2 linked regions of the Arabidopsis thaliana genome follow. The protein of the gene in region 2 interacts with the protein of the main gene of each other region in a pairwise test. Each region holds a gene or a part of one and is shown on either strand. Other genes may lie near its edges. The genes, in order: ZAT11 and AT2G18490.

Region 1 (17,264 bases), 7.7 Mb from region 2:
TATCTTTGATGCAAGAAAAAATAAAGGGTTCTTACTTCTTAGAACTCTTGAACGAAGTTTAAACTCGGAGTTAATGGCTTTCGACTAATAAACCGAAAATACGTATAACTAATCAAGAATTGTTAATTTCTTTGCAAAGGTGAATATATCTACAAAATCCCTGACAATATTAAAGTATGATTGGAAGAATATGTTAATTAATTAAATATCAAAAAAGGCTAACGAGCGTTTGAGATGGAATGGGGAAGTATGGAACAATGAAAAGTGGGGTTGGTTAATAATCTACAAAAGGAGAATAAAAATCAGAAAAAGGCTAAAGAACGAAAGTATAATCCAATTATTAGAGTTGTACCAATATGATTAGTGATTAGTGACTAGAATCAAGTGTTCTAATCATTAAACTCACTTGCTAAAAGTTAAGTTCCCAAATAGATGCACATGTCCGATCTATATTTCGAAAAGGGAAGAATGTAAAACAATTATGAATGTTAATGAGATGTAAAAGTGCCATGCATGATCATATATTGCAGAAGCAAATTCAGATATAAATTGGAACTAGGTAGATGTGAAATATCTAATTCAGAATCTAACTATTATGTAACAACGTAAACACAAGCGCTAAAATAGCATAACAACCAAACTCATGTATGTCCTTTGGTCATCTTATGCTAAATTTAGTCCATTAGTTTCAACCAACACCATATACATGTGTAACGGGTATATATATATTTTTTTTTTGGACAGATGTAACGGGTATATATATGTTTTACTTATACACTTAGTTAGAAATCGGATGTGTTTTACGGCTTCATATAACACTTTTTGTAAAGATTATTTTTGAAGAAAAGTCTATAATTAATACAAAAGACCATTAATCAATTTTACTTTTGATGATAGACTTGAGAAACCAATGATTGTGTAGAGAGGGAAGTTGGTACCACTACTCTCCGAGAAAGTGCTCTCATATGGCCAGCTTTGGCAGGCAAGTGAGTGACCCACTTTTCTTAGTTATGCCTCTTTAATATGCGCAAATCGTGATAAATATCGCTCTCATTTTAATTGATTGATGTAATTCTAATCCCCGTACGTTATTCGTAGAACTTTCCATCTGAAAACCATTTAGCCGTTCTGTTAAAAAAAAAAAAAAACATTTAGCAATTTGTAAGATATTTTCTTAAGACACACAGGTTCACTTTTTTCCTTAGAAGTTTCTACTAGAAAAGCATTTAGCCTTAAAAGCACAATATGGGAAAAGTTACTGAGAAAAAAAATTAGTTACAAATATATAAAATATAAATTAGTTAACTTATATAATATACTGGAACTTTATTTCGTTTTTAGTCAAAATTTGAAGTAACTCTTTTTTTTTTCATCAAGTAACTGTTTTATTTAGAAAAATTCCATGATAGAGAATTAGAAAATATTAAGTAAGAAAAGATCTGCTGCACATAAAAAAAAAGTAAGAAAAGAATCATAAGATATATGCTACTATAAATAAATGAATTAAACATAATATGAACTACTAACGAGGTTATATATAAAGTATAAACTATAAAATTATCATTTTAAGGAAATTTGTTTTTTCATAAAACATATCAAGTGATATATATATAATTGAAGATTATTATTATCTATTTTTTAAGTAGTCACAATTTCATACTAATTAAATGGTGTGATTGTGGTAGGACCTCGATTCCGATGAGTGTGGTTATGGTTGGAAGCAATCACAAGTAACTGCTGAGATTTGGGTTGGGCAGCGGAAGCTAGAGTAATTTCATATATATTCTAACTAAAACAATAGTATATGTGTTAACTGTGAATTATATATTTTGGTTAATTGTTTTTGAATGAAATATATTTTAGTTATTGGTTTGCTAATAATATATAATATACTTGTGAGTTTGAATTTAGTAGTACAGTGATATCACTAACACTAATCACAAGACTACATGTTTTGCTCAATGTATTCAACTTCTTAAAATGTTATTATTGGATCCTATCCGTGACTCTTTTGATGTTTAAGTGAATAGAAATTTTGTTTGACATAAAAAAAACGAAAAAAAAACGTTGTTACATTTATATATATATATATATACCATACCGAACGTTCACAAATTATAAAAGGTTGATATTTTATATTGGATATCTTTCAAAATTATATAAGTAGTGAATATTTTTTGCGTCATACTATATCAGTTTACTACATCATGGACGATTATCCAAAAACATGTGTCGATCCTATTGATTTGGCCACTGGAATCTTTTACTGTTATAACATGGCTAGTAATTACTATTTTGAATTAGGAGTTTCAATGAGCTTTATTGACATTCGGTTAATAGTAACTAGCTAAGCAATGACGTGAAAGATCGCTTGAGAATAACACGAACTGCACTTCATGCCAAAGCAGGGTATGGTTTAAACCTCTTATAACTAGCCTATTCAAGCATTATATTAATATTAATATATATATATATATATATATATAGTTAATAGAAGAATATTACATTAATTTTATTATTTTGATGACTAAACAACCCACTAAGACCAATAAAAAATTCTTTACGATCTCTAATGCAGACAATGAATCGAATTTGGACCATCGGGTTCGTTGGGATTGATTTCCATTTTTACTAGAGTCCTAAAATTTTGGAAGCACCACCACCGACCTAAGTGGGATGTTCCGAATATTAGTTAATAGGATAATTATAACCAATGATTTGTTGAGATAAGTGGGATATATATAGACGTTAATGTGATATACGTGATTCATGCATCAACTAATACTTAATAGAATTGAGCATTTCATGCATCCAAAAAGAAATTCCTGAATGCTAGAATTTAGGTATTGTTTAAGATTATGCAATTTTAGTGGTACACACCAAACTGGGCCATCACTAACCAATAAAGTTGAGCAATATATAACAAGCATTTGACAGATTAGCTAGTGGAGAATATGTTTTATGCATACATACGAATATACGATGATGAGAAACAAGTGTGTTATCTCATATGCATGGATCCATGTTTCGCTATGTGTTATATATAGTTATATGTCTGTCCCCGTAACGTTTTCAAAACTCGTCCAAATTTGATGAAAAAGTGAGAGTTCTCATATAAACGCATGCATTCTACATACATATATGCTGAACCAGTGAGTCCCTTAAAAACTAATTAAACACATAGTCCTTCAGTAAACTTAAGTCACCAAATTTTCAGAATCAAAACTTGATACATCGAACTACATTCTACAATACTACAAAATGATTCATCATGTTTGACGCCGCGCATGCATATGTTACATGTTTGTCTTTTATATATTTGTACTTGTTCGCATGAAAATATTTAGTAAACTATACTACATGTGGACCATGTGATGATAGTGGTAGATGAGAAGTAGTGGCTATCATATGTTACTAAAACACTTTTTAATTGGTCGCTAAAGTTGGCAATTAATTGCGTGCTCCAAAATAGAGGACCTTTGACTTTCTTCAACACGCAAAGTTAAGCTCAGTTGACGCAGACTTTATAATTACAGTGTTAAAAAAAAAATCAACTATTAGAAGGCTACTTGATTATTGTACTAATGTTTTGTATTATTGCCATATTGGTCGTAATTAGAAGCGAATGCATGTATGACCTTGATTTTTGCACTTGCTAAATCTTTGGTACTAGTATTAAAGAAACGAGTTTACCCGTTCTGCTGCTATTTACTTGTGATATACTTTGATCTGTTACAATGTTATGAGCATAAAAGTAAATACATTGTACCAAGTTTCATCTTTCCTTAGATTGTGGCTATCATCAGCTTTTCTAACTATCTCTCAAATTTAAAGCATATTGCGACTCACAGATGCAACAGTATACATGCTTTGGAAAGAATGAAACCACTAGGCTCCACAACGCCTTGTTTTCTCCTGCATCAGTTGTTTTTAAACATAATGACCGATGCATTAGAGACACTTTCCTAGCTAGTTCGAAGAGAACAACCATGAAGACTATTTCAAGAACCACGGGTAACAAATTAAATCAGCATTACAGAGTTTGCCAACTGTTTCATATAGACTTTTCTATCTTTTTGGGTCCTAGCTTAGCTATGAACTATTAGCTATTTTTGGTAAAGACACTGTTTCATATTGGTAATCAAGTTTACATTATCATCATAGAACTAGACGGTCAATTGTCACGAGAGTGCTTGCGTGTGATCACCCACTCAGACCCGTATTAGACTGACATTAGATGGCTCAAGTGTCAATCTAAAGATGTCAATAAAACAAAAAGTAACATTCAGGACAGTGTAAAAGAACCTTCCTTCCGTAAGAAAGAAGACAAAGAAAGGAAAAGACTGATCAAAGTAACAAAGACAAGATATATATAAACCTTGGTTTCTTGGGATCTTCTTTCTCCGGTGCTTCGATGGAGTGAACTGCCAAAAACAAATCCGAACAGAATTTTATAACCAGTAACAAACTGAAGTCAACAGAAAAGAAAACAAAGATAGACCAAGCATCGAATTTACCTTTTCTCTAGGGTTTGAGTTCGCATGAGATGATTTCGGGGGTACCACCGCAATAGCAGAGCTTAGCTTGGAACTGTTTTGAGTCATCATCATTGGAAAGTAGCTTACCTTCAAAGGTAATGAAATACATCATGCCAGCAGAGACGTGATGATTGGCTTTGATAAACCTGACAAATTCATATTTTGTACTATGAATTTCATTGAAATGCTCAAGGGATTTCCGACACAGTCTGTCCATAAACTCTCTGGTAGTTTCTGGTTCCAAAGCCAACTCGTTGTCATCGAGATCAACTGGTCGGTAATTGAAAACGCAGCGGAACTTGGCGAAATCGATGTCAAAACCCTATATAACACACAAGATGAATTCTCCAAACAGATAAAGAAAACTTGACAGACTAAAATCTGTCTTTATAGTTTTTACCAAGAATCAACAACATGAAGAAAACCTTGGAATCCTCGACTTCTTTCACCATGAGGTAATACTCTTCTTCCGCCGAGATCTTGGGCTCTTCATCCTCACGGCGTCTTATACACGGATAATAATGTTCCTCAGGAACACAACCATCCTCAAATTCCAAAAACACAGGTTCCAGCTTATTTCTCCAATCTGAGACAGGAAAAATATCTAACTTTATTAGGGATTTGTTCCGATATATAAACAAAATTTTACAGAGTTGAATTCGTACCTCAGTACCTGGTAAATCATCCCCCATCGAATTCGCCTTGCGTGTATGAACAAAACAGTAACCCTAATATTAAACAAGAACCCTATAAATTTAATTATGTAATTTTGTCAACTAGGACGATACATGTTACCCGACTCGTACCAGTCTTGAAAAAAGGGTACCAGTAAACTTAGTCGGGTAAAAAATAATGTAATTCTATTACCCGTACGTAAGGATCGAGTATCAGATTTATTTTTAAAATATCCGACCTGTTACCCGTATTGCTATTCGACCCGGAAATCATTAGTAATACATAAGTAATAAAATCATTAGTACTAACTCAGGCTGGGCCCCTAAATTTGGCCCACTAATCAACATGTATGGTTAAGGGATTCAGTTTGGGTCTCAGATTGGTTAAAAGTGAAACTTGAAAAGAAAGAGAAAGGATAATGAGTGGGAAAAAACTAAAAAGGCTGTAAGGATAAAATATTAGAAAGGTAAAGTTACGTCATTTTGTTCTTTAAAGCATTTGCAATCCTCTTCTCTAACCAGCCCTTTATCCTTAAGAAATTTTATCAATCCTTTGTATTTCTTTAAATTCCCATTTGATTTTTTTTCTTCAATTTGGGCAAATAGATGCTTTGAAGAGAATTCCAGAAGGAATTCTACCATGAATGTATAAATGGGCCCCCAATCATTCTGTTGTAAGAGATGGTCCAACAGTAACCTATCATTCAGATTAAATCATGCACATTATTATTTCTCATTAAAAAGTAAACGAAACAAAAGTAATTGTGATTGATTAAGGAAAATCGTTATAAGAAATCTAATGACAAATTTTTCCAGGGACGAACAACAAACGTATAAGCTTTAAGGTTGAATTATTTGAAATTAAGGAAATATACTTTTTGTCAAGTTTTAAGGTTAAGTTTCTCTAATTTAAGACATGTCTAAACAATGGCGTCACCTTTTAATTTGATCTTGTACTAATACCTAACGTTTTTATAAAATCATTCATCAAGTAAATGTTAAGGTACATAGTAAAAAGACTTACCCATATTTCCTTGATCAGTGACTTCCCGCAAAACCATTTTATTATTTTGAACTATTTTCCAAGAATATTGGAAAGGAAAACCTTTAGGTAAATCGTGTAAGTAAGAACAACAAAAATTGTAACACACATTGAAATAAACAAACTGTAATTACACACTCCTAATGAAAAAAACAAGTTTTTTGTATATATCTGGTAGTTCTGAAAATGCATGTATAAAAAAAAAGAAAATTACATTAATAATAATACGTAGATTTTAGATATCACTAATCTACAAAAATGGAAGGAAAAACTGTTTACCACGTCATCAGTTGCTCGAACTTTTCCTTTCACTTTTGTTGTATTTCTTCTCTTATCTATCATCTCTACACTGTGAAGAACAACACAAAACGTACGAGATCTGCACTAATATGTTGTATCTAAAAATCCAAAGGTTAAAAGAGATGAAAACCATATGAGACAAAAGTTGTAAGCATTCAGAATCATAAAACTAGTGTATAACACAAAAGTTGCATTTTTATTGTATACAAAAACTATCTAAGTAATGAATTAGGCAAAATAATGAATCAAGCGAAATAATGAATGAGGCGAAAAAATGAAAATAAAATCCACACACAAACACATGATCTAGCATCTATATACTGATTTTTTCTGGCTATTTTAATGTATTTGACGAAATAATGATGAAGATTTAAAGAACTGAGATGATAAAATTCATTTTATATTAAATCTAATTAATAAACACGCGCTGGAGAAAAACCTAAAAGGAATGAGAGAAAGTATCTTACAAACACGGCGATGTAGTGCTTTAAGTGTTGAAAGGCGTTAAAAAACATAAATTAAACCTTGAGAAGCCGAAAGACGGAAGCAGAAATGCAGAAGCAGAAATTAAGGTTTTCCCACATAATTATGTACATTTTACCTGGCGACCTATAGCTATAAATCCTATAACTGTGTCTTACACCTATTTTTTAGATGTAACTAAAAGAAATAGAAGCAAAATATATAACAGACTGTACAATGACATTAGAGTAAGAAAAACAAGTTACATTCTTTATTTTTACTGCCATTAAAGAACAAGTTATACTGAAGAGCTATAAGAGTTAAAAACTCATGCATTGTTTTAATTCCGAACGGTCATTCTTCTCTTTTTTTTCGATTTGTTTTCTTCTTTTTGTCAAAATTGAATGGAAATTAATTAAACTGAAGAAATTAATTAGATATTTTTACACTAGTGATGACGAGTTGACGACAATATAATTTAGGTAACTAGAGAGGATCAAGCTTGTTATAAATTTATAATATCTAACATCAAAACTAAAGCCACTGAAAAAAATGATAATAATCAAAGCATGTCATATCCTAAATTACATGATGATGGCAAAAATAAGAAATATCCGACGATAGTGATGACGACAATAGAATTTTGCAATTGTCTAGAGAAAAATCATCTAATATAAATTCAAGCCATTGGCAAAAAAATGATAAACGTAATATATTCAGGATCCTTTGTTGCATATCATACATGCCAAGGCAAAAGGAATATGTTTCCAATTCCATAGGGGATATGGCCCAAAATTTGGCCCGCTTATGAATATGTTGTACTTGTTCCAGGAATGGAAACTAAATAATTTAGTTTAAAATCTTTTTCTAGCGTACATGATAACCAAGAACGCACATATGAATATACTATATAGGGAGTAGGGACCCCACACATATACCATGAAGTTTGTTGACATTAACGTTTGAAGAATTAAAAGAATAGGAATTACAATACAAATGAATCATTTTTGGGACAAATGTCTTCTTAAAGATAAAGAAAAAAAAAACTAAAGAACGAACTTCATATCTATTTTTGGGACAAATGTCTTCCCAAAGATATATTCAAGATCATTCTCTAACGGAGTCAGATTCAAATCCAAACTCAAAATCCTCTTACTACTACCGCATCGTTTCAAAACCGGCATGGATGGAATCATCGGAGAGATGAACGATGGCTCGACCGTCATGCTTGACCTATGCCGTCTCATGTGACCACCTAAAGCCTGTCCGGTCCCAAAACTCTGACTGCATATGGAACACTTGTGAAAATGATTTCCTTTATAATCGTTGCTAAGATGTTTCACATCTTTCTGCTCAACGGTGAGCTTTGGCTTCTTATGGCTTGCCCGGTGGCCACCAAGGGCTTGAAACGAAGAAAATCTCTTGTTACATGTTTTGCATTCGAATTGGTTGCTTGTATGGCTCTCGGTATGTTGGTTCAAACCGATCTGTTTGACCATGGAGGTTTGTGCTAGTATCATCAGACATTTAGCAATGTCAATATTCTTGAGGGATTCTTCGAAATCAGATCTTTCTCTCTTCATACTTCTTTGAGAATTAAGATCTGAGAGGGTTACAAAACAAAACAAAAATAAAGTAAAGGTTGGAGTTTTTGCTTGTTAGAAAAGAAACCTGAATTGAGAGGATTTGTAATGAAGGTTGAGAACTTAGAAGTAATGTATATTTATATAAGAGCAATTACCTAAAAGGTTGGACTTTCTAGTAGTTTGACCAAAAGAAGTCGTCTAAACTAATATTCTATCTAACACAACTACCAGAGCACTGATTCTCTGACTTGAGACAAGTTGACATTTTCAATATCACCCTTCGACCGCCGGCACAATGCATACCACGGGTGTTGAATAACAAGGGTAATATCGTCTTTCCCGTAATACATCACATAGTTCTCATTTCTTAGAAACTTCTACTGCTAAAAATGTGAATCTAACAAAAGTAGCATAGTCAACACATGTGTACACAACACAGAATAAATCAAGCAACTTGGTTTCTCATGGACTTGCTTGCCACAGGCATAACTTAATAATTTATATCAACACCTAACCAACTGTATCCTAATCAAAAAATATAAAATTAAGGATTTCAATGTACTTTAGACTAATCATTGGAAAATACAGCCTTAAAGAGCTCTAAATAAGTAATTCTTCCCCTTTGGTAAACTGTTTTTTCATATTTTATTGTATAGTAAAAAAAAAACTACATTCTTCAAGACTTTTTTTTTATAAAAAAATAAATCTTCAAACTTGCGCAAAGCTAAAATACAAAAGTAATCTTCAGATCCAAGTTCGAATACAATCATTACCTTGTTCGAAGAGAAAATTCAATTTGGTCAAACACATGCACTAGAGACCAAACAAAAGCCTTTTTGATACATTGTTCATCTAGATAGTAATAAGAGCTCAATACTGAAATCGTCACCAGTGACGGATTCTTGACGACAGCAATTGAATTTTATGGAAGAGCAAGTCAAAGTAAAAAAAAAAGTGGTAAATTAGACTATTAGAGGTATGTGCTTATTCTTGACTTTATTATGTTTTCTTGTGGAAGCAATGCAAAGTCTTGTGTTCTTTTTGTTCTCTCTTTACTTTTCTTTTTTTTCATATTTGGTTGACTCAAATGAGAAAATAAGCCAATTTAACCGGAAACGTCATCCATAAAATCTAAAATTTCAGCAATCTGCATACCGGTTTAATGTCAAAATATAACCAGATTTATCCATGACAACATAAGCTTGCGTACTACTACATAACAACCTTTACACAGTCTTAATCTTCTACACTCATCCAGCTGATGAACATAAGCTTTCTTTTTTACTCATTTGTTTACTTCCAAGAATGGAGTTCTGTTGTTAGCTTCGCCAAGTCCTTGTTTTGTTGATATTTTCTCCAAACTTGTGTGTTCTTCGCTGAGAGTATTCTGCGAAAACAAAGTCCTCATCTCCTCAATCGAATCCAGGCTTGGCACATTTATGGATTGTTTCTTTGGTGTTTCGTTCTTGTGCTGATCAACCTGTTCATTTTATCCAAAGCTTTGCTGTTAATGTATACACATATAGATCACACTATAGATTTTCCATTATGATTGCTTAAGTACCTGATAGTCTTTTATGAGAGACTGTTCTGCTTTGTTTCTAATGTTTGAAACAGCTTGTCCATGATTCTCCTGCAATAATGTGACCTGGTTCATGCAAGTCTCTACTATAGCCTCTGTTGTTTCTTTGTTCTCACGGTCTTGCATCAATGAGTCTGTAAAACCAAGGATTAGGACGTTTTTGAGTAGTTCTTGAGTAGGGAATGGAACAGAGGTTTAGTGTGGTTACCATTAACAGCTGCGTGAAGTTCATTTGTCCTAGAGACAAAGTTAGCATCCATTGAGGAAAATGTGGATGTAAATTCATCTTGCACCTTCTCATTTTCTTTTGCCATGTCCCTATACGTAGATAGTTTATTCAGTGAAATGATGTGGAAACAGAGAGATGCACGGATACAGAAGTTAAAAACTTACTCCATTGTGACATTAAGTTCTTGTTGATACTTCGTGTTAAGGTTCTTTATGCCTGTTTCAGTGGTCTCCCACAATGTTTTAGAATCATTGGCCCTTCCCAAGCTGCAATAAATACAATCTTTGTATGAGAAGACATAATGCAAATTAAGTGAGAGGTTTGAATAGAAAGCAGTGGGGAGATGGAATTTATACCAATCTTCAAGGTAACTATCCATGACTGTGATAGACTCAGCTGAAGCTATTGTGTTTTCCGTGAAGTGAGTTTTCTCTTTCTTTAGATAGTCACACAATTCTTCCTTTGCACCAATCGAGACTTGCTGCATACCAGACATTTGTTCATACAATCTCTTCTCTTCCTGTATGTCATGTTCCCGGATATTGCTTGATGCATCAGAAATCTAGAAACACATAGAGCATCAGTCTTTAAGTTTGATTCAACTGATGAATAAAACAAGCCTAAGGGGGTTATAATGGTTAAAGACTCACCATTGCAGTTTTCTTTGAAGTTAACTTTGATAATATCAGACTGATATCATTTAAGGCTTGTTTCTCCTCTCTTTCAGCCTCTTCCTGTTTTCATCAAAACGGATGAGTTTGTGCGAACCTCTCAGAACATATATAATTGAAGTCTTTAAGAGTTTGTCCCAGCTCACCTTAAACTTCATTTCAAAAGCATCAAGCTGTCTTGATTTCTCTGCTTGGCTTGCTCTAATGGCTTCCACCACGTCATGGGCTTGGTTGTAGATGTTACTGAAAATGGTTGAAGTTGAATTGGAAATTTCTTGTGCAGATCTCATGCTTCTGACCAAGCCCTGGATAAGTTGAAAACAAACTTGAATTTTCAGAAAAATAGTAAAACTAACAAGAATCCAGAAAGTGATTTTTACAGCACCTGCTCTTGTTGTCTTGCAGCAAGTGCTAAGAGCTTCTTCTGATCATTAAGTAAATTGTGGATGTCCTGAGCGACTGCAGAAGCCTCTGTTGCTGATGTAGTGAGAAACTAAGAAGAGAAAGGCACTTGAATTATTACCAAAACACATGCTAAGATATAGAAACACAGCAAGAGGTGAATTAGTATTTCATAGCTCGATTTTGTTCATACTTTCTCAACAGCCTCTATTTGTGATACTATAGAAGTGTTCTTCTTCTCCAGATCAGAGGAGGCTTTCTTTTGTAGCATTTCAGATAACTCCTTCAAGGCTGCTATTCCTGAAGTATAAGTGTCTGATGTTTTCCCAATTCTTGATTCCAGATCGCGTGTTGCCTGCGTGAGTAAATCAACCACTAGTGTGATCAACTGGTTCAAAGCAAAAAGTGAATTGACATAAGTATGGTCTTTTTTCTACATCATATTTGTGAGCAAGAAATGAGTGGGTATGTTCTTCCATAGTTCTTAATTGTTGCTGTTGCTGAGAGACTGATCCAAGAACTGTTCTGTGCAAATCTTTAAGGTTTTGATCAAGTTGTGATCCAAATTTCAGAAGCATGCTCTGGTTATCGGATTCCAGCTTGTCTTTTTGGTCTGCAGAAACAAGAAAAATCAGCACATGACAGATCTTATTTTCACCCTTAGAAATAGGAAAGAAGAAGTACCCAATCTTGTGAACAACGAATTTATATCGTTTGACGCATGCTGCAGATCACAACGTAACCCCTTTGCACGGTCGATCAAAGAAGTCTCTGTTCAAGAAAAATATGAGTAAGCAACAAACCCAAGAAATCGGAAGCATGTAAAGAAAAAGTATTGAGTAAGAACTGTTACCTGAAGCTTTCATTCTGGAGACGATGACTTCCTTTTCCTTTAACTTTGAAACAACTTGGATATAATTCTCTTTGAGATCTAGCAAGTCCTTGTTACTATTGTGCAGGTTTCTCTGGATCATGAATGTTTGAAATTTCAAGAAAACTCTCACTAAAAGGATGAATAATCTGGATACTAAGTCACGGAAGTTCTAATCACCTTGCAGTCCTTAAGGTCACTTTCAACGTCCAGTAACTTCTCTTTCTCAGTCTCATAAAGGTCACAGAACTTGGAAACCTCCTGCATAAAAGAAGCCTCTTAAGTTCCAATGGGAGAAAATTAATTTAGTTTCTAACGTACAGATACACTTTAATGTTAAGAGATAATGTGAGGCAGACGTACACTTTCACTGAGATTTAGTTCATTCTCCAACTGTTCTATCCTCTCAATTCTCGCCTGAAACAAAGTGATCATTAAGCCCAGCATAAAATGAATATACACTTAAGTGTCTTCTTTTGAATCTACCTTCTTTTCAACTTCTTCTTGTGTATATCTTTCATGTGCAATGTAAACACCATTCTTATCCCTTGCTGCTCTTACATCTGCATTGATTGTTTAACAATTTTAACTAATCCAATAGCTCATTTGATAATATACATAAGAAAATCTGGAGAATATAGAACAGAATGTTGTGTTCATACCTTCTTTCATTCTCTCAAGCTCCAAGTAAAGATCTTTAAGCAACACAGCCTTGGATAACTTCTGGTTTGCCTGCAGAGACACGTCTAGTTAGAAGGATAGAAATTAAGGGTACATTGATAAATAAAGATGAGATATGGTAGCATAAACAAAACCTCAGGTTTGTTCTTGATGTTCTTGGCACGATAGGCATAATCCAAAGTACTTAAAGTTTCCTCTAGGGAATGAGCAGATGGAGAGATTGTAGCAATGATACAAGTTTTTGTCTTTCCTCCTAGAGAGTCCCGTAAAAGCCTTGTCAGCTTACTATCCCTGCAACCACAAGTATGCTTTCAAAAAACACAAATATTACCACAGTAGACATATATAGTTGTAGGACAAGGCAAGTACCTGTAAGGTACATGAGAAGAATGTTCCACAAGGGCATTAATCACACGGCCTAGTGTAAGCAAACTCTTGTTAATCTCTCCTGCTTCTCGTGCACGGCCATCTCGAGCTCCTGACCGTAAGATATTCTCAGATCCTGCTAGATCCACAAGGTTAAGCTTCCCACATTTGATTAACTCTTCATCTCCCATAGACTCTTCCTTTATATGGACAGTGATAGTAAACACTGAATGAGATCGACTACTTCTCTTATTCAACAAAGTATCAGCTGTACGCCTTTTAGATGAACCTCGTTCAAGAAGAGCATATATATCATTAGCACTGTACACAACTTCTTCTTCAAGACCTCTTAAAACCACAGAACCCTTCCCATCCTCCATCAAAGAAATGGGCTTCCTCTGCTTATCCTCAGAAGATCTTGAGGAATCATCTTGAGCTAACAAATCCGTAACTTCCTCATTGTAAAGCTCCAAGAATGTTACTTTCATACTGTAATCAGCATTTTGCGCCTCAAGAGTATCGAAAATATGTCTAACAGCTCTGGGAATCACCCCAGCCTCCGCAGGTAAATCCCCTCCCTTTTTCCTCATTCCACCTTCCATAGTGTAAGTCTTCCCAGTTCCTGTTTGTCCATAAGCAAACACAGTACAGCTAAAACCTTCCAAGACTTCATGAACAATAGGTGCAATAGCTTGATCATATATAGACCGTTGTTGTGACTTAGGACCAAAAACCTATAGAATAAACACCATCAGAGACCCTTGAATACAAAACCATCAAGTAGAGAAAGAGACCAACCAACCTTGTCGAAATTGAAAAGACGGTCTACTTGCTTATTAGCAATAGTATGAAGAACATTGACTTCTCTTCTCATTTCATTACAAGAGATGACTCTAGGAACACTAGATTTCTGCTCTTCTTCACTTAATGGTTTGCATCGTAGAATCACTTGAACATTGACTTCTTTATTATCTCTATCGAGACGGTTAGAGAAAGAATCAGGTCGTCTTCTCTCGAGACGAGGAGTTAGAAACGGTGCAGGTGATGGAATCACTCCTACTCCACTTTTCCTTGATACCACCTCTGGCGTAAACGACATCTTCGATTTCTGTGAAATCAAATTCAAATTCCCTAATCAATTGAGAAAGGTTGGATCAGAATCCCAGAGATTCGAATTCTAAATAAGATTCACTTACAGGAAACAGAGCCGAATCCTGGAGATCGAAAGAGAGACTTCTTTTCAAGTTTGAGAGAGAATTTGAAGAACAAAAAAAGATTAGGGTAAGTAACCGTTGGGAGTGGAAGCAGATCCAAATTCGAATTACTAGAGAGCTCAACACTACCTTTAATTTCAAAAGTTTTTTTAAAAGTCGCAAATATCTTCTTCTTTTTTGTCTCAGTATTCATATATTGCTAGATTATTTATTTACAGGTATTATGATATTAAATATTTCAGTCAAAAAATTGTTCCAATAATCCAACAACTTTATGATTTGTAAACATGGAAAAAAGGGAAAAAAAAAAAAGGAATTGTAAATCTACTACTTTCTGATTTTATTCTTAAATAAACACTTTTGCCAATACAATCATATATATGTGAGATGGATTTACTACTTCTTTTTTTTTGGGGAAAGAATTTGGAATCAGCACTATTGGAGATGGATAAATTAAAAAAATGATCATTAGCTCATTATTATCATTGATTTGACAAAATTAGAGAGAAAGAAAAGAAAACACAAAAGAATTTGTAATTGAATATGAGAGTATTTAATTCAGTCTCCAACTGTTCTATGTGTGATTAATCCAAATGTTGTAACTTGTGAAGACCAATATATATTAACAATCTGTATACATTATACACTAACGTACCGTTGTAAGAGAGTTAATGACATTCTTGCATTATAAAGGAGCTTTTAAGCGTGAGTTCAAGACGGGTAAACAGACAACAACATCCTTTAATCTTTTCTTAGTCTATGGGCTACTCCAAACTTGGGCTACTCCAAACTTGGGCTACTCCAAATTGGGCTTCTCTACTTTAAATCTTCTACTAACTATTTGGGCTTTTATTAATAGGTTTAATTACTTTCTCTCTCAGGTCTTTCTTTTAACTAGTTTGGGCAATTGAAAAAACTTTTGGCTCCTTTTTTAAATTTTACTGAACGAAATTATCCTAAAACAATAAAAAATAAAGCAACCATATTCGAAAAGAAAAGAAAAATGAGCGATGCCGGCAAAAAAGAGAGGGAAATTAAAAAAAAAAAAAAAAAACGCAACAGTGTCGGAAAAATAAAGCTGACAAAAAATTAAACGCAAAATAGTTTGGTCGCTGTAACTTTTTTGTTTATTTTTTTCTAGCCAACCCTAATAAACCCTGACGCCGTTTCTTCTTTTACCTTCCTTCTCTCGCTCACCGTCGCACCTCCTTCATTTTTTCTCTCTCTCTCAAACTCGTCTCTAAAACTCGTCCGTCGATTAATTCCTCGTTAGTCTCAGGTATGCTTCTTCGATTCTCATCTATCATCAACAACAGTGCTTTCTCAATTCTCTTAGATTCATTTCTATACACAAAGTTTCCACCTTTTTCTATGGTTTGCTTTCGATCGTAAAGTACGGATCTTTGATAAACCCTAATCTTCTTCGTTCGATTGTATATGTTCAGTATTTAATTGGAATTAGTCAGAGATCTATTTGTTGATTTCGCAGTGACTTACAAAACCCTAAATTTCTTACTATTTGTTAATGAATCAATATTCATTTGATTACAGGTTTGATAGAATCATTGCCTGAGGCATCTAATAATGGGAACACCAGAGACATCTCGGGAGCCTTGCCCTGATCGTATACTCGATGATATCGGTGGTGCTTTTGGTATGGGAGCTGTTGGAGGATCTGCCTTTCATTTCATTAAAGGGACTTACAATTCTCCTAAAGGTAGTCGCTTTGTTGGAGGAACACAATCGGTGAGCATGAACGCACCTCGTACTGGAGGCAGTTTTGCTGTTTGGGGAGGTTTATTCTCGACATTTGACTGTACCATGGTGTACCTAAGGCAAAAGGAGGATCCTTGGAACTCTATCATTGCTGGTGCTGCAACTGGAGGGTTTCTGTCTATGCGGCAAGGGGCTGGTGCTGCTTCGAGATCAGCTATTTTTGGAGGGGTTTTGCTTGCTTTGATTGAAGGAGCTGGGATCATGTTGAACAAGGTACTGGCTCAGCCTCAGAATATGATGATGGAGGACCCTGGAATGCAAGGAATGCCTGGGATGCAGGGAATGCAGGGAATGCCTGGGATGCCCGGAATGCAAGGAATGCCTGGGATGCAAGGAATGCAGATGGGGCAGATGCAGAGTCAAGCACAGATAAGGTCAGAGAGTCAAAACCAGAATACAGCTTCATCATCATCATCATCATCATGGTTTGGAGGGCTTTTTGATAAGAAAAAGGAGGAGGTGCAACCAGGCAGTGAAAGTAAAACAGAGGTGTTGGAGAGTTTTGATGCTCCTCCGGTGCCATCATTTGAGTTCAAGTAAGCTTTGTGGACATCTATTTCTCTGTCATCCAATGGTTTACCTACTGCCTCAACTATCAATTCCATTTCGTCGTCTTTTTGTCTATCCTAAGTTCTCAGCTGAATTCTTCTTGTTCATGGAAGAATCAGCATGCTATGTTCTCTCTCTTTTCACTTATGGTTATGTTTCAATGAGCTTATGCACTCAATCTAGGAATATTCTCTTTGTGAAACCATTCCACAGATATTGTTGGTTCTTAAATAATGTAGTTATAGATTTTAACAATATTCGCCAGTGGAAAATGTTTGAGCATTGGAAATGAATCCCTTGGTCCAATATCTTAGCCCATCC
Region 2 (17,433 bases):
AATATTGCAGGAAGAGTAATGTGATGTGATCTCATTTATGAATATGTAAAACAAAAATATTAATGAAAATAGTTTAATGAAAAAATCGAGTAATGGAAAGATATTCCGAAATTTGCTATTTTCAAAGAAAAAAGATATTTCGAGATTTTCTCATATTTCTGTTAATTACAACAAAATCCCTTATTTATCACATTTAATACGTTATTTAAAATGATTATTCAAACTCAAAACATAGAACGTTTTTTAAAAAATCCCTCAATATTTGGAACCAATTAAAATTAATATTGATTTAACAAGTAACAAATAATTGTTTCTTTATTTCATACCAAAAAATTATTGTTTCTAACTCAAAAAGTTGTGTAAAACAATTACGTACACATGAGACCGTCACAAAATTATCAACAACAGAATATGATCAAGAATAATTCATGTGGGTTGATTTTCTTTTTATAAACAATAGGTTATATGTATTGATTTATATTTCTTTACAAGTTTATATGATATGACGGGTTTGGATCGATATTAATACGGAATGAAATACCAGAGTGATTTCATATACGCATTAATTGTTATTGATTATTTAATATTCCTAATCACAAACATTTCTTTATCTAATATAAATCTCCATCAATTCTAATTACTAAAAAAAGGAGAAATCTTAGGACATTATTAATATTATACGTCTATACTTTATTAAAAGGTAAATATTATAATTCTTTAAAGTTAAATAAACATTTAGAATATTTAACAGAAAAACGTTTAGAATATTTCTAATATGTGAAATCTATACAAATTAAATAACCATCTGAAAAAAAAATTTTAAATTGATTTAAATTAGAAATCTTTTAATAAAAGTATTATTAAAAAAAAATGTTTAATATCACATAACGAGATTAGATGGTATGACGGGTTTAAAATGTTATAATATTTGAAATTTATAGCAATTAAATAAATATTTCAAAAGAAAACTTTTAAACTGATTTGAATTATATATCTTTTATATTAAAAAAATAACAAAATACTGTTTAATTTTACTTAACGGGGTTAGATGGTAGGACGGGTTTGGGTCGATAGTTATATGAGACGGTATACCACAGATAAAATTTATTAGATATGTTTCATTTCACTGAACGGGGTTAGATGGTAGGACGAGTTTGGGTCGATAGTAATACGAGACGGTATACCAAGAGTGAAATCCATTATATATTTTTTATTTCACTGGAAGGGATTAGATTGTAGGATGGATTTGGATCAATAGTAATACGAGAAAAATCAAACATTGTATTTATACACTAAAAATATATATAGATATAAGAGTTGTACATTTAAAAAATACAAAACATTAAATCATATTTTATTAAACAAATTAAACTTTTATTTTTTTTTTAAAAATAGTCCTGCGGTATATCGCGGGTTAAAAAAAAATCGAATTTTACATAATACAGTTTATCATGCTTTTATTAGATACACTATACATTTTAACCGTAATCCTAACTAAAATTCTAAAAAAAATACATATTATAACCGTTAACTCAAATACATAATCTATTATTCAACTATACGAATTTTACTTAATATATAAATTTTATTTAGAAAAAATAAATCTGCGGTATACCGCGGGTCAAAATCTAGTTTTGTATACATAACTTTAACTTTAGTAACCAAAAAAGTGAAATTTTTGAAAAGCAATTATTGCGTGTGAATATGAACATCTTTTTTTGGGTTTGGTGTTGACGATTATGAATATATGCAATCTATGCATTAGAATCTAAATCGCACAAATACAATATTTTAATTAGCCTACGCATTTAATGATTACAGTTTTAATAATTGCACCGCCGCATAATTTACATTTAACATTTACATCGTCACTAAAAGTGAAAAAAATTTAGTAGAATTTAGTTAGACATTATCATAAACAGAGGATTTTAATTTTTAACATTATTATTTTAACACTCATCGTAGTCTGAGAGTCGAACACTCGAGAAGGAGGACGATCTCCGACCACCACCACTACCACCGGAGAACAAAGCAACCCAAATCTCTGAAAACGCTCTTACAATCGCGCGGTGGTGGCGTTTCGCGTTTAGCGATAGGAAGCAACTAAGAAGCTGTTCAAGCTCAGCTACTTCAAACATCTTCTTCTCTACTATCATCTCCATCATTGATCCTTTAAAATCTTCGTATGGATCCTCCGATTTCTTCACCACCGCCACTCCTTCCACCATAACCGCCGCCGCCATCGTACACGGCATTAATCTCTGCACAAACGAAGACAGTCTCGCCGGAGACGGTGGCGGTGATGATGATTCACTTTCTTCCTCGATCACCGCCTTCTTGAGAAGTTGTCTCGGACGTCTTGTGACACGCGGTAGCTCGGAAGAGGAATATTCCGGCGAGAGGTTTGTAGAAGATGGTAAGAGACTCTCTCTATCAGTCTCTTCTTCGGCGGAGGAAATGCTCCCTCGCCGCCGAGAGTTTGATTTCTCCTTCTTCTTTAAACGCCGGCGATTATCTTTCTCCGACCCACCGTTGTATATTTTCCGACGAGGCGTTTCGTATTCTTCTTCAGTGACTTGAGCAATCACGTGCCACTTCCCTTCACTTTCCCACTGAAACGTCGGCGTTTGCGGCGGAGATAACACCGGTGAGTTTCTCAGATCAACATCCAACGGCGTGGACGAGCGTCCGCAGCCAAACACAGTTAAAACGTGTAGTCTGAAAGAAGAACGGCGACGTTGCGGCACGGTGGTGACGTCGGCGGAGGAGTTAACCAGTGGAGAAGTACGTCGGAGACTTGAAGAAACAGGATTAAAAGGAAGAGAAGAAGGATCTTTTAAACGGCAAGATTTGAATGAGAGGATTCTTGAAATCTTTAATTTGAAACGTTTCGTCATTTTTTTTTCTTTTCTTGTTTTTTGTGTTTTGTTGGAGAAGTGAAGAAAGTATGGAGCATTTACCAAATGAGAACTGTTTGTGTCTCTTCTGCTTCTATATATATGCAAACACTTTTATATTGGAGTATATAAAATTGTATAATATTTCTCTGCTTTAGTATGCTTTATACCGACATTACATTTACTAATTATCTTTTTTTTGTTGACAGCTGCAATATAAGTTATTTATACGAATCCCTACTTTTTTTTGCCCATACTAAAACCTTACCTTAGTTAAATGATCAAATGAACCGTGAATGTCATTAGACGGGTCAGAATGTGTGTGATATGTATATACTTTGCGTTTTCAAAAGCAACCCAAATTAGTTAAGTGGACGTCTAAGGCTTGATTTGCAGAGATGTTGGCAATAGCAATGGTGAAGGAAAAGTTGCACATCATCGTTCTTCTGAAGTGGTGGTAGTCGAGAAAACGTATTTATATGTAGGATTTCATATATATACGTTTTCTCGATTACTTCTTCAGTAGAATGATGATACTGTATCGATCATAAACAAGATACCGAATTGTGATATAACCATTTTGACTTGAGAGTTTATTAAATATCGATCTTAGTTAATAGGAATAAGATAGTTTGTACCAAAAAAAAACTAAAGACATAACCATGTGTGGGCATATACAAGTCAAACACCTATGAAATTGAAAGGTTGAGAAATTAAACGGCTAAATTAAAATACAAAACAACAACATTCTGTCTAAATTGTTTTATATTTTTTACCACAAAATACATTTCTTTTTTAGAACTTTTTTTTTTGTCTTTATTCCTAAATACTTTCTTGCTTTCTATATATTTAGATCAATTTTTTTTGTTAATACATATTTTCAAAAATCGAAAAGATATTTTGGAAAAAAATTCACAATTTTGATTACATATCGTAGTATCGCACAGAATCATGTTTAGCCTAGTCTTGTAATAAATTACATGTAATTAAAATAATTTTTGTAACGTCATCACATGTATGATGTCAATGTTGATACCTATTTTTTTATACTGTATATACTTATGACTTAAATTGACAAGCTAATCCTAAGAAAATTATACAAACCCTAACCCCTAGGCATCAAAGATTGATGTAACTCGAGTTTGACCGATACAAAAGTTCTACTTAGCTCGAATTAGCTTGCATTTGGATCTAGCAACCAACAAGCATAATAAGACTAGTCCAAAAAGAACTCACAGTTCTTGTTAGCTTGCATTTGAAGCTAGCAACCAACAAGCAAAAGAGTAGTCCAAAATCTTGTAAGACATTTAGCAAAGTCCAGAATAGTCAACTTACCTTAAAAGAAAGAATATGCGATAATCCATTGTCTTATCAGGTTTTTGAAAGTAGTAACTATTTTCCTACCATCCCAATCACATGTATTGAGAAAATGTATACTCTTAGTCTTACTATAATATTTTAACTTAACTACTATCAAACAAATTTTTAAAGTTACCGCGCGAAAAACCTAATAATTTTAAAAAGGCATTTTACGTGAAGAACATATCACTTCGACAAACACTTGTCAGCTGAATTAACTAACATTTGTTAATATTGACTCGTAATTATACACTTCGTCAAAAGTTTACCTAAATTATTTGAGTTTTTTTTGTGTTGGGTATTAATTAGCACTGCTCTTTTATGAGATTGAAAGATACGGTTTCAAAACTTTCGGGATTTAAAAAAGCCAATTTTGCAATAATAAATTATATATTATATTTAAAAGAAGGTGAAAAGTTGTATGATAAGACAAAAAAGATCCATTTTTGAAGAATGAAGAAGCGAAGTAGGGAACGACCAAAGGATCCAAGGAGACAATATAATCTGATTCATGCCCCAAAGTCATCTTTCTCCATCTCTTTCCCATATATTTATATTTTTCAACTTTATTTATTTTCTTCCTTTTTGGAAAATTACAATATGATTACATTTCTACTTGTGTCGTTTAATCATTAAAAATATATAATGTAGATGCTCCTTTACTAGTTAAAGAGTCTAGAGTTAAAATGTCAATTCAATCGATTCCATTACAAAACCAGATTATGTTTACTTTTTAATAAAATAAAATAAAACATAATTTATTTTTCCTTCTTGGATAGTATTAAAAAGCAATAACAGAAAACTCTGGCCTTTTATGTTGGGTTTTGATAATTAACTTGGGCTTTTCTTAAAACTTAAATGGCCCATGAACTGTACAAAGAATCAACAATAATTCCTATATTTAATTAATCCTAACTTGACAATAACGATTTGACTCAAAAATAATTTTATATGTTAAGATATTTACATTTAGTCAAATGACATTTGTTAACCTTTTGTCATATATTTTAATTTGTTGATATAATGGTGTTCATCATGTAAAATATATTTAATTCCAATAAAATATTTGTGACTATTATTTTAATTTTTTTTTAAGTTAGTCACTAATTCACTATAGTGCAGTAATTTGCATTGAAATTTTAAGATTATATACACTAGTTGGATATATCATATATGTAGACGGGAGACTTAATCTAAACATGATATATATTTTTAAAAACAACGAGGGTGAGAGAGAGACCACATAACTGATATAACTTTAAAATTTAGAGCAAATAGAAATTACAATACGCATATCCAAATATGATGAAATACTAGAAAGAAAATACAATATTCATTAGGTTAAAAAGAAATCTCAAGGAAAGAAAATCCTAAATAATCTCTTCTTTAACTATCTCAAAATGTTGAGTAGGTTCATCGACACTATTTCCACCATTATATCTCGTACAATTTTTAATTATTTATTTTTTGTCCGAAGTCTCAAAATCTCCTTTTTTATCCATATAATACTTGTAGTGAGATGACATATGTACATCAAAATTTTGAGAAATATCAAATATATTGTTGCATTTAAGACATGTATATAGATCGTATTTCTCATATGGTAGACTATGTGTCAGACCATCATATTGATCATCGATACTTTTATCATTTTTTCACAATTTATATAATCAGCAGTTTTTTCATTGGACATGGTTGGTTTTGGGATTTTTTTCAAAGACCGACTCTCATGAAAAATATTTTGATCATGGTTTTGCTTTGGTGACAAGGAAAACATGTTTAAATGTAGACGATTTTCAGAATTTTGGTGAGAAGAAATGAAATTTAGAGACTCAGGGTTCAAAATATAGTATTGTTTACCAAGAAATTTTGGAGGATGAAAATAGGATTCCATATATTGGGTTTAGAATCCATGGCCTATTTGAACAATAAAACTATATATATCTATTAGTAATGGTTTGAGTGAAAGAAACTCTAGTAACACGAATATTATCATTAATAGGCAAATAATCGGTACCAAAAACATAATCAATGTTTCTCCTCATCATATGATAGGGCATATGTGAATTGTTAAATCCAAAAAAAGATGAAGACATGTGAATATTGATAACATGAAAAAGAAGGAGAAGATGAAAACAAATCCCTATGGTTTGAACAATCAAATGTAGTGAACATCGATCGAACCATTTTGGAGTTGTGATTCATTTTGATGGGAAAAAATCACGATGGTTTATAGAAGTATCCCGGTTAGTATGTAACTTATTTGGGATGGAAGACATTTTTTAAGATTTGAGTGTATCTTATGTCATTTGCTTATGTACTCTTTTATACAAAATTCGCACTAGAAAAGTAAAGATATAAACCTCAAAAACGGAAATGTATTTTAAAATACAAAAGGAAAGAAATCGACATTATGTTAACTATTATTATATTATATTTAATATTTATAAGAAAAATCTTGAATCATTTATTATTTTCCCCAAAACTCCTCTATTTATATGGTAATATATGGATGGAACAAAAAAGTTGATTTTCGGTCATATACTAATATACCTGGATTCGGTAGTTGAAGATATAGACAATAATCAATGTAAATTTCTTATATTTCTTATATTAACAGTTAATGCTATCCATAAGACATTTGTTGAAGTTTTGTCATCTATCTTAGTATTTACTATAAATTTTGTCATTTTAGCTTTTGAATTTTGTCTCATAATAGTTGTCGTTTTATATTTTCAATCAGATGTTGGTAAAAATTCTAGTTTTTTTTTCATAGTTTTAATGACTTGACCAATAATTTTTTTTGGAGAATATATCAAACAAGGATAAAGTAGAAATTTTAATTGTTTTTTTTTAATTTTTTGTAGAAATCTTGAACGATAAATAATTTAAAACAAAAAGAGTATGATTTTAATGTTTCGTATTTGAATATAAATGTTTAGTTATTATATATATATATTCCTAAAATGTACCCGTTCGTAAATTGATTTTTAATATTTTATCCACCGTATTAATTTCCTTTTTCATGCAACATAGAAGGAATTTCTCAAGGTTTTTCTTGTTGATATAGTTTTTGTTTATCAACGCTTTTTGTTTTCTTCCCCTAGATAATATATGTACAAAAAGTTTGAAATGTAGAAGTTGTATAGGTTGAAAGTTATCTAAGAGTGTGAGAAAGAACAAGAGAGGCGGATAAGATCGAATAAATGAACTTGTCTTAGGGTTTGTTTAAACCAAAAATCTTAGAAAGTTAACAAAGTCATAACTAAACTTTATCAATATGTCCTAAGTCTTAACAATATATAGAACCTTCGCAAATGGATGTTTGTGTCGCGGTAATAGTTAAAGAAGGATCCACGACAAAAATATAATTATATAGGAATAAAGATGGGCATAAACTTTAAGTTTAACAAAGGAGTCATTGTGTAAGAATCTAAGCTAAAATAAGTCATAATCTAAAGTCTGGCTTTGATAGAGTAAGTGAGATTGTATCTAAGACATAGTGGAGGACTCTAATAAGAAAAATATATCATATGCACTAAGGTAAGATCTAAGATCTATGACTACAAGAAATTCGCGAATCCACCACTGTCTGGCCAGGGGTTCTTGGTAGTGGCTAACAAAGGCCACATATTTGTTGTCATTTAGCCACCGTCAGGCTACCAAATATTTATTTGACATTTTGGTGGTTCATCGATAGTTACGTGGACGATACTTCGCCACCAAACAGTCTGTTAATCATTCATTTGTTAATCAGCCACAACTAGCTACTGAAATAATGGTGACATATAAGTTTTTAATTGTATTGTTTTCTTTCAGTGACCGTTAGTTAGTGGCTACGATAATAGCTAATTTGAAATAAAATAGTTACCGATAAGCTATTTATGACCGTTATGTGGTTTCCAAAGTAAGAGAACATGTTGTGGGAGTAGAGTCAGGGGGTGACATGGATATTGACAATGGTGGTGAAACAATACTTTTTGAAAGAACCGATGAAGACGAGGACGAGGGTTATGGTTCAATTGAAGACGATGAAAGCGACAACGAGGATGGATATGGCTAATGCTCTATGAAAAATGGAGAGAGAGAGAGAGAGAGAGAGAGAGAGAGAGAGAGAGAGAGAGAGAGAGAGAGAGAGAGAGAGAGAGAGAGAGAGAGAGAGAGAGAGAGAGAGAGAGAGAGAGAGAATTAAGAACTTTTTAATATAGAAAAATAACTTTAAAATTGAAAGAGAAAATAAAAGTTACAATACGAATAGCAACAAATATGATGAAATACTAGAAAAAGAAAACAATATGCATTATATTGAAAAAAAGATATTAACGAAATAAAATCTTATGATGTTGAATAGGTTTGTCGTCACTCCTTCCATCATTATGGACCCCATCTTCTTGTTTAATCTTTTGAGACTCCCCATAAACTTCAAGATTCAATTTACGATATTTTCTTTTATTTCTTGCACGAAATCTTTGAGCTCTTTCTTTATTCGTTTCACTCTTGTAGTGAGATGACATATGTGCAGCAAATTTTTGAGAAGTATCAAATATACTGTTGCACTTAGGACATGTATATGGACCATATTTCTTATATGGTAAACTATGTATTCGACCATCATATTGAGCATCGTCACTTTTCTCGTTTTCTTCACAATCTATATATTCAGTAGTTTTTTCAATGGACATGGTTGGTTTGGGGATTTTTGTCGAAGATCGGCCTTCATGGAAAACATTTTGATCATGGTTATGCTTTGATGACAAGGAAAACATGTTTAAATATTGACGATCTCCAGAATTTTGGTGAGGAAAAATGACATTTAGAGGCTCAGGGTTTAAAATCTCGCATTGTTTACCAAGAAAATTTGGAGGATAAAAAACAGGATTCCAAATATTGGGTTTAGAATCCATGGCACGTTTGACAAGTTCAATATCATATTGAACAGCATCAAGTGAATTGGTAGGAACAATAGAACTATACCTATTAGTAATGGTTTGAGTGAAAGAAACTCTAGTAAGATGAGGATTATCTTTAATAGGCAAATAATCGGTACTGGAAACATAATCAATGTTTCTCCTCATCACTTGTGAATTGTTAAATCCAAAAGAAGATGAAGAGACATGTGAATTTTGGTAACAAGAAAAAGAAGGAGAAGATGAAAACAAATCCCTATGGTTTGAAAAATCAGATGTAGTGAACATTGATCGAATCATTTTGGAGTTGTGATTCATTTTGAAGGAAAACAGAAATCAGGATGGTTTATGTAACTTATTTGGATGGAAAACTTTTTTTTTAAGATTGAGTGTATCTTATCCCCTTTGCTTATGTACCCTTTTATACAAAATTCGTATTAGAAAAGTAATGATATAAATCTCAAAAACGGAAATATATTTTAAAATACAAAAAGAAAGAAATCTACATTATGGTAACAAATATTATGTCATATTTAATATTTATAAGTTAAAAATCTTGAATTATTTATTTCTTTTCCACAAAGCTCCTCTATTTATATGGTAATATATGGATGGAATAAAAAAAGTTGATCTTCTGTCATATATCTAGATTAGGTAGTTGAAGATATAGACAATAATCAATGCAAATTTCTTATATATATTAACATTTAATGTTATCCATCTTATGGGACATTTGTTGATGTTTTATCATCTATCTTAATTTTGTTTGATTATATGTCATGTAATGGTATTTCCTATAAATTTACTCGTTGATTATTATTGTTCAAAAATTATTCATAGTTTATAATTTAAATAAGTAAGTGAAAAAAATAATAGGATGGATGAGTCAATCTAATAACACATTGTTTTCCATTTACTAGGGAATATATTAGAGGGACATTTAACTCATAAATTTTGCTTCTTCTTTTTTCGACGACATCCAACAATTAGATTTGAATTTTGATGATGACATATACTCATTCGAAATCTCATTAGATTAGGTGATGTATCATTTTTGTTTTCTAAATTTATCAAGTTTTTTTTTATTATGTCACTTTAAAGAAATTGAATGGTTTCAAGTTCTTATGCTTAAGCTAAAGCATGTGAGTTGCTTGTCATGTGGGTTGTATAAAGTTATGTTGCATGGAAACTCTATCTGATATATTTTTTACGTTTTGGAATCTAATTTACAGTAGCAAATGATAAATAATGAATTTGTCAAGGTCTTTTTTGTTGATATGGTGTGAGAAAGAACAAGATAGGCGGATAATTAAGTTTGAAGGTATGAAATTGTCTCATAGTTTGTGTAACCAAACAATCTTAGAAAGTTAACAAAGACATAAATTTTTGAATATCTCCTATAATATAATTCTATAGGAAAAAGGATGGGCATAAACTTTAAGTTTAACTAGAGAGCCGTTGTCTGAGAGTCCAAAGTTATAAGGAGAGAGCTAGAGATACAATTTAGGACATGGTGGACTATTTGTTTTTTTTTTTTGGATATAATGTTAAATTAAATTCAAAAGAAAAATACCATTTTACATCGAATGCAATGTTTGTTAAATAGAACTTTTATGTACTAAATCAAAAGTTTAACCTCAATCTGGCATCGCAAACCAGGCTTTTAGACCCTTATTATACCGCTTATCTCCACTTGCTCTGATCGAACACGGTGGACTAATATAAGTCATAATCTAAAGTTTAGCTTCTGTAGATTAAGTGAGACTATATTTAAGACATAGTAAGCTCTGATATAAATTAAATAAATATCTTATATACTAATAAAGGAAGATCTACGTAATGCTTAAGAAAAACGGAGAACTTAATGTTTTAGCCACATACTCTTTTTGTGTGAAAAGTATGAGTTTTCTATAAGAACGAGTGATTATGTAAGAAATGAATTCATCAATATTTTACTACTTTTCTTGATATCTTATATCCTTTATTCACCTAAATCTATAAGTAGTTTTATGTATTTTACTTTGCGCTAAATCAAATCTAGTAGGTTATTTGCAGTAAAATTCAATGTTAATTACTAAAATTCGTTTAATTTAATTGAAGGGAGGAACTCTTGAATAAGTCATAATTGCATGACCTATCTCCGTCCAAATGTACCATCTCGTTATCGCTAAGATGAGGATTGTGACTTGTGGATCTATAGTTACCTTTTGTTATTGTTCTTGTACTGTGTAGATATGGTCTAGTTATGATATGTGAAATAATTTTGACTATGTGATAATGTTATAAGCATAAGACTATGTGATGATTGTGTGGCAAGACCTGAAACTTGTTAGGTTGTTAAAAGGAGATAAGGAGAACCTAGAGAATTGCAAAGTTTTAAAGAAGAAATAGGAGGACCTACAATATGCAAGGTTTGATAAAGAGAATGAGATGGGATAAGTGGAGATGATAGAGGTTAGCATGTACCATATGACCGGGAAAGATATATTGTAGGATTGCTTGTCGGACCAAATGCATAAATATATAGGACTACTATGTTGCGGCCCGTGAACGACTGACGAGCCTGAGGAGACGGGTGCACACAGATAAAAGGGAACCGAATTGTTGTTGCTTGTTTGTTGGTTGCAAGAGCATATATATATTGTTAGCTATTCTATAATTGTGTGGTGCCTGCTTGTACCTTGTCGTTCTATGGATCATGTGGGCAAGAAATATCGTCCTCATTGAGTAACTTGTTGCTCATGTTCCCGGAAAATGGTGGCAGGAGAGGACTAGGAGCGGAGTGGAAAGGCGCTATATACGACGGGATTCTAACATGGTTTTAGGATTTCAACAAAGACATTTCTTTGTTCTAAGTTTATGATTTCAATTTTCAAATAAGGATTTTTGTTTATGTTGTTACTTACGTTCAAGCTTTTAAGATGCAACTATGGCAATGTTTTTAAAGACCTTTCATGAGAATTTATTGAATAAAGTTCTGGATATTTCACGTGTTCTTTTAGACCCCGGGTTCAGTTGTCACAACTTAAGTAAATCAAAAGTTTGTGTAGTTAGAGGATTGTGTAAGTGCAACAAAAAAAAAATACTTTTTATTTTTTTTAAGGGTGAATTGTAAGAATAACCTATTTGGAAGATGAAATAAAGAATATAGCACCATAAACTGTATAATATAGTGAGTAACACATGTGTGTGTTAAAAAGACCACAGACTCCTTCAACTTGTCAAGGAAGAGATGGTAGCGCGTGGAGCAACCAAAAAAGTGACCAAAATATATTCATCTCATTCAATTTTGTTTGCTATGTAAGTTTAAAATTATTATTTGGTTAAAACTAATAATACTATTAAAAAAAGGGATTTTTTTTTGTTTATCTAACATGATTTGAATTTTAAAAATCGGAAACAAATTTTTTAAAAAGTGAATAGTGGTACCAAGTTCTATACATATCATCATAAAAAAATAGAATAGTATATATTTGTTCAAATAGAAATGTTTCTTCTGATGAATCCAAATAATCAATTAAATACTTTTTGATGGAAGAATACTAAACCCTAAGATAATATATAGGGAACCCAAGACTTTTAATATAAAACACTAATCAAATCACTTAACATCCTTAATCAAAACAAACAATTCATTTTAAAATGTATATAGTACAAGGTATACGTAAATAGTATATTCACAAAATAGAATAGTATCTGTCAAAAATCTTCCAAAAACAAAATCGATTTATTGGCTATTTTCCTTTAGAATTTCTACCATCGTAAACCATTTATCGCTTCTAGATCTAAGAATGATCCCTAATTTATCAACATTTAAGAATGATCCCTAATTTATTGTAGATATGTTGTGAGTCTGTAACTATGAAGAACAAAAAGATTAAGTGATAAATTAGTTTAAAACCATATATGCATTTTGATGTCAAAATTATGTTTCAAAAAAGACAAAAAAGAAAAAACAAAGCTTATAACCTAAATAAATCTCACAAAAAGGTAATTAACTAACTGTAACTAGAAACAAAAATAAGCAAAGAGGTCATTTGGAGAGAATGAAAAAAAGAGGTAGGGAGAAAGGCTGAGAGGAGAGAGAGAAGGAGAGAGAGAGAAGGAGAGAGGGAGAGAAGGAGAGAGAGAAAAAAAGTAGGGAGAGAGGCGGAGAAGGGAGAGAGAAAGAGAGAGAGAAGGAAAGAGGATAAAGTTGGGATTAATATATAAAATATAAAGAATATCATTTTTTTTTTTGTAGTGTTACTTAATTATAATTTTTTTGTAAGTCAGTTTTCCAAATTTCCTTTTTTTAATGATATTCAGCCTGCATGGGCATACAATCTAAAGTCCGATTGAAACTGAGTTAAAATAAATCCGGTTCCGTTCGTTTTTGGATAGTGAATATTATCCGAATAGATCCTAAAATATATATTTTTGAGTTTTGGTTTGGTTGGGGTAGAATCCGAAATCTCAATGAATACCCAAAAAATCCAAAACTTGAATAAATACTTGAAAACCCCAAAACCCAAACGACCCATAAAACTGGAAACAATCTATACACATGATTGTTTCAGTTTTTTTTGAGTAGTTTGGGTTCCAAATCGGAATCAGAAAATATTTAAGTTCCATGTCTGATTTCAAAATAAATTTTGAGAACCGACCTAATCGGAAGAAGAACTGAATCGATCTAATCCAAAATTCATCCGGTTCTTAAATAGATCTTGTACCTCTCAACCAGAAAAAACCCTCTGAAATCTGAATTATCCGATCTAAACCGATCTGAAAATCTGAATGCCCAAATCTAATTGTACATGTTTGTCTTCAATCTTTATTTAAAATACTTTTTGCCAATACAATTACAGATATTTTTTTGGGTATCAAACACAAATACCGTTAGTATCAATTTTTGATTTACACTTCCTAATATGCCTTATTTGTACACTCATAAATCTTACCTTGTGATTAGTATCAATTTTTTATTTACACTTCCTAATATGCCTTATTTGTACACTCATAAATCTTACCTTGTGATTAATAATATCAGCAGTATCATGTCAAGTCTTATTCCACTGGTTGTTGTTATGGATATCTTTTGTGCAACCAATTTGTCTTCCACTTTACCTTGAAAACGCTCTTATACGGATTGAACCAAAACTACTATACATCAACTACGAAGAAATTAATTTTTGAAATCTCTGAATTAGGTACTTTCAATGAGAATATTATCTTACCAACATATTACTGCCACATAATGTGCACACATATAAAGATGTTATTCATAGATATGTTCTTACTTCTTACACACAATAAGGAACAAAAACGAGGGGGCTTTTGCGAAAATGGACATATTTTGGCCCATAAACTAGGAAAAAGACATTTTTGAGTTAAGCTTATGAAAATAAGCACTTGTTAAATTAGGAAATAACGATATTGTCCTCTTTTTCAATCAATGTTATTGGCATTCATCGTCTTCATCGTTGAGACTTTTCCAACGACACAACTCTCACCTTTCACTGTTGTGCTTGCTTCTCCGTTAACAACATCTCCATCAACTCAATCAACGTCACTTTCAGCAGCATCAACATCGTTTCTTTTGCTGGAATTTACAAAAAAATTTTGTCATCATCACCGTGAACCCAATAGATCTAATTAAAAGAGTTTAATGAAAGAAATATAAACCCTAAGCGGATAGTATATAGGAAACCCAAGGGTACAATCTTAAATGCGGATTGAACAAGTTTAATCACCAACTCAAATTCTAAAACAAAATCAAAATCAAATTACATGTTTAATATTGGTTAGTGTAGGATATATAATAAACTGAAATTTGCAGATCGAGACGAAGATCACTAATTTCCGTTGAACACCAACAACATAGTTATCAAATTCGATGCCAAAAATTGCAGACCTAGATCGAAAAAAAAATATGATAACTGGGTTTAATTGAAGAAGAACAGCTCCTTCGCATATCTCACATTCCCACCATTTCTCTTGTTCACTTTCAGCAGCATCAACAACGTCACTTTCAGCAGCATCAGCATCAACGTCACTTTCTGAACTCGTTTCTCTTGTTCGCTGCGTCAATTGCAGAGGCAAAGCAGACAGCGTTAAAAGGCGAGAAAAGCAGCGAATCAAATATCATATCCTAAACAGTCAAATAATTCAGCTTAAGCATAGATGTTCCTAAATTCACAAAGGCATAGAGTTTTTTGTGCCAATCCCATAATTGATCCCCAAAACAAGTCCAAATATTTTCAAGAACTTTATCACCATGCCACACAAAAATCATAGATGTGTTCTTGGCTCTTACACAAACAAAATAAGGAAAAAAAACGAGTCCCAACATTTTCAAGAACTTTATCACCATGCCACACAAAAATTCGTACCAACAATTAGTTTGGCCAATTTTAATGGCCTCCGTTACATTTTGAATTGCGTCCATCACTTCATCCCACTTACAATACTTTGTCCCCTTAAATCATTACAATATTTTTGTAACCAAATAACTAAATCTTTAACCGGACTGCCAAGTGCCAAGTGATCTCAAAATCAACAAAAATTTGCATTTTCTTACTTTTTTTTTTTTTGAACGACATTGTATTTTCTTACTTAATCTGAAGTTATAGATAACTAATAAAGTGTATATCAAAGTTTTTTTCAATGTTTAAAAAGACGCGAACACATCTAACTGGAAGTGTGCCTCTTGTCTTACGGATGTCCTTCTAGTAGAACATCTATAAAAATCTGAAAATCTTTCGGAAAAACAAAAAAAAAAACTTACAAATTGTTTTCCATCTAATCACGAACTTGATCATCAGTTCTCGTGATGTTGGAAACAAAAACTCAAAATATCATCACTTCATGTGCATTTGTACTAACACATGCATATCAGTGATTCGTTGGGTTCTTCAATTTTAGTAAAAAAGTTTTTTTTTTATCAAAACCATTTCTAAAAAAATTCAATTAGAAATTACGATAATTTTGACAAAATAAGGGCTACTTTCATTATTTATTATTTATGAATTTTGAAAAAATCCTAATGTGTTGACATTGTTCAAATAAAGAACTAATAAAGTTTTAGATGGAAAAAAAAAAGAACTACGTGTTTTTTTGGTGAAACTTTTGAATAAAGTAATAAGACCTACCCATATGATGATCTAACCTACCCAAGTTATCACTTGTATCGGAAAGTCCCCAAACTTATCTTTCTGGTTGTGTCGGCCAAATGTATCCCAACTAATACACACAATTTCACTTTGAATTTCTCTTTCTCTTCTTCCAGAAGATTTCTCCTTCTATCGTTGACCTAAATGATTGATCTGTCTTGGTTATTTTGTCACACGATGTGTATGCCAATCAGCTTTGGACTACAATGCATGTTAAGGTTCGTACTAAAAAAAACTCAGCATGAAGAATGTTGGTTCGAGGACTTAAATTCTGATCTGACGTAGCTAGTCTATCGATTATCTGCCTTTAAACCAAAGCTTTTTGGATTAAAGATAGGTAATCCGTGCGTTGAAGGTATATCATTTTCTTACCCAACAAATTCATTTAACCTCATAGTATAAATTTCGTTTGGTTTTGATTTTTGATAGCGACAATATATGCCTTTTCAATTAAAAGTGAAAAGAAAAAAACGCATGCCATTTACTTGTTTGAGTAAGTTACTCATTATGGTATATGCTCTTCAAGAAAACAAATCAAATACTACTTTTTCGTCACGTATCTTTCTTTTTCAGCTCACCAAAATATAACTTTCAAGGAATCATATCAAAACTTTACTATTTACATGGATTTTGTGCATTTGCATAATTTACGTATACAAATCCCAAAGGTTAGCGTTTTTGCCAACTATATATATAGATACTAGCTAGATGATTATCCAGATTTACTTCTTCTTTTTTAATAATATATATATCGTATATCCATTAAATGTGTAAACCTTTACTTCTAACAGATTTAGAGATCTATAAAACGTATACACTAAGAATTATTTAGAAAAACTAGAAGTTTGAAATAAGTTATTGTCTCTCTAATACACCAATATTGCTTCTTATGTTCATTACAATTTTACAAATGTATGCTTACCAGATTACAAAAGCATGTTGAAAATTCGAAGTTATGATACCAATTTATTAGTAGCGAATGTAAAAAAGACTAAACATAAATTGGACGTAGTCCACCAAGATATATAATGTTATAATTAGCGGGGTAAAATATTGATTTAATACTGGAGGCGTAATAACATCTTGTTTCAGAATTCCAACAACGTACGAGTAAGAAAA

What was found.
Region 1: the proteins of AT2G18490 (region 2) and ZAT11 interact in a two-hybrid assay, tested with the Arabidopsis thaliana proteins (one large-scale study listed by BioGRID).

Annotation. Positions count from the first base shown.
Region 1 is NC_003071.7:15,697,789-15,715,052, reverse strand, and holds ZAT11 (C2H2 and C2HC zinc fingers superfamily protein), read right to left. Parts: upstream 8,769-17,264; 5' UTR 8,600-8,768; coding exon 8,063-8,599; 3' UTR 7,829-8,062; downstream 1-7,828. Other genes in the region: AT2G37435 (Cystatin/monellin superfamily protein), read right to left, coding at 4,525-4,860, 4,964-5,124, 5,212-5,230; AT2G37420 (ATP binding microtubule motor family protein), read right to left, coding at 9,888-10,082, 10,167-10,318, 10,393-10,502, 10,578-10,679, 10,770-10,975, 11,064-11,147, 11,231-11,389, 11,470-11,577 and 11 more; TIM17-2 (translocase inner membrane subunit 17-2), read left to right, coding at 16,203-16,934. UniProt on the Arabidopsis thaliana protein: Probable transcription factor that may be involved in stress responses.
Region 2 is NC_003071.7:8,012,566-8,029,998, reverse strand, and holds AT2G18490 (C2H2-like zinc finger protein), read right to left. Parts: upstream 9,544-17,433; 5' UTR 9,482-9,543; coding exon 8,576-9,481; 3' UTR 8,423-8,575; downstream 1-8,422. Other genes in the region: OFP7 (ovate family protein 7), read right to left, coding at 1,950-2,897.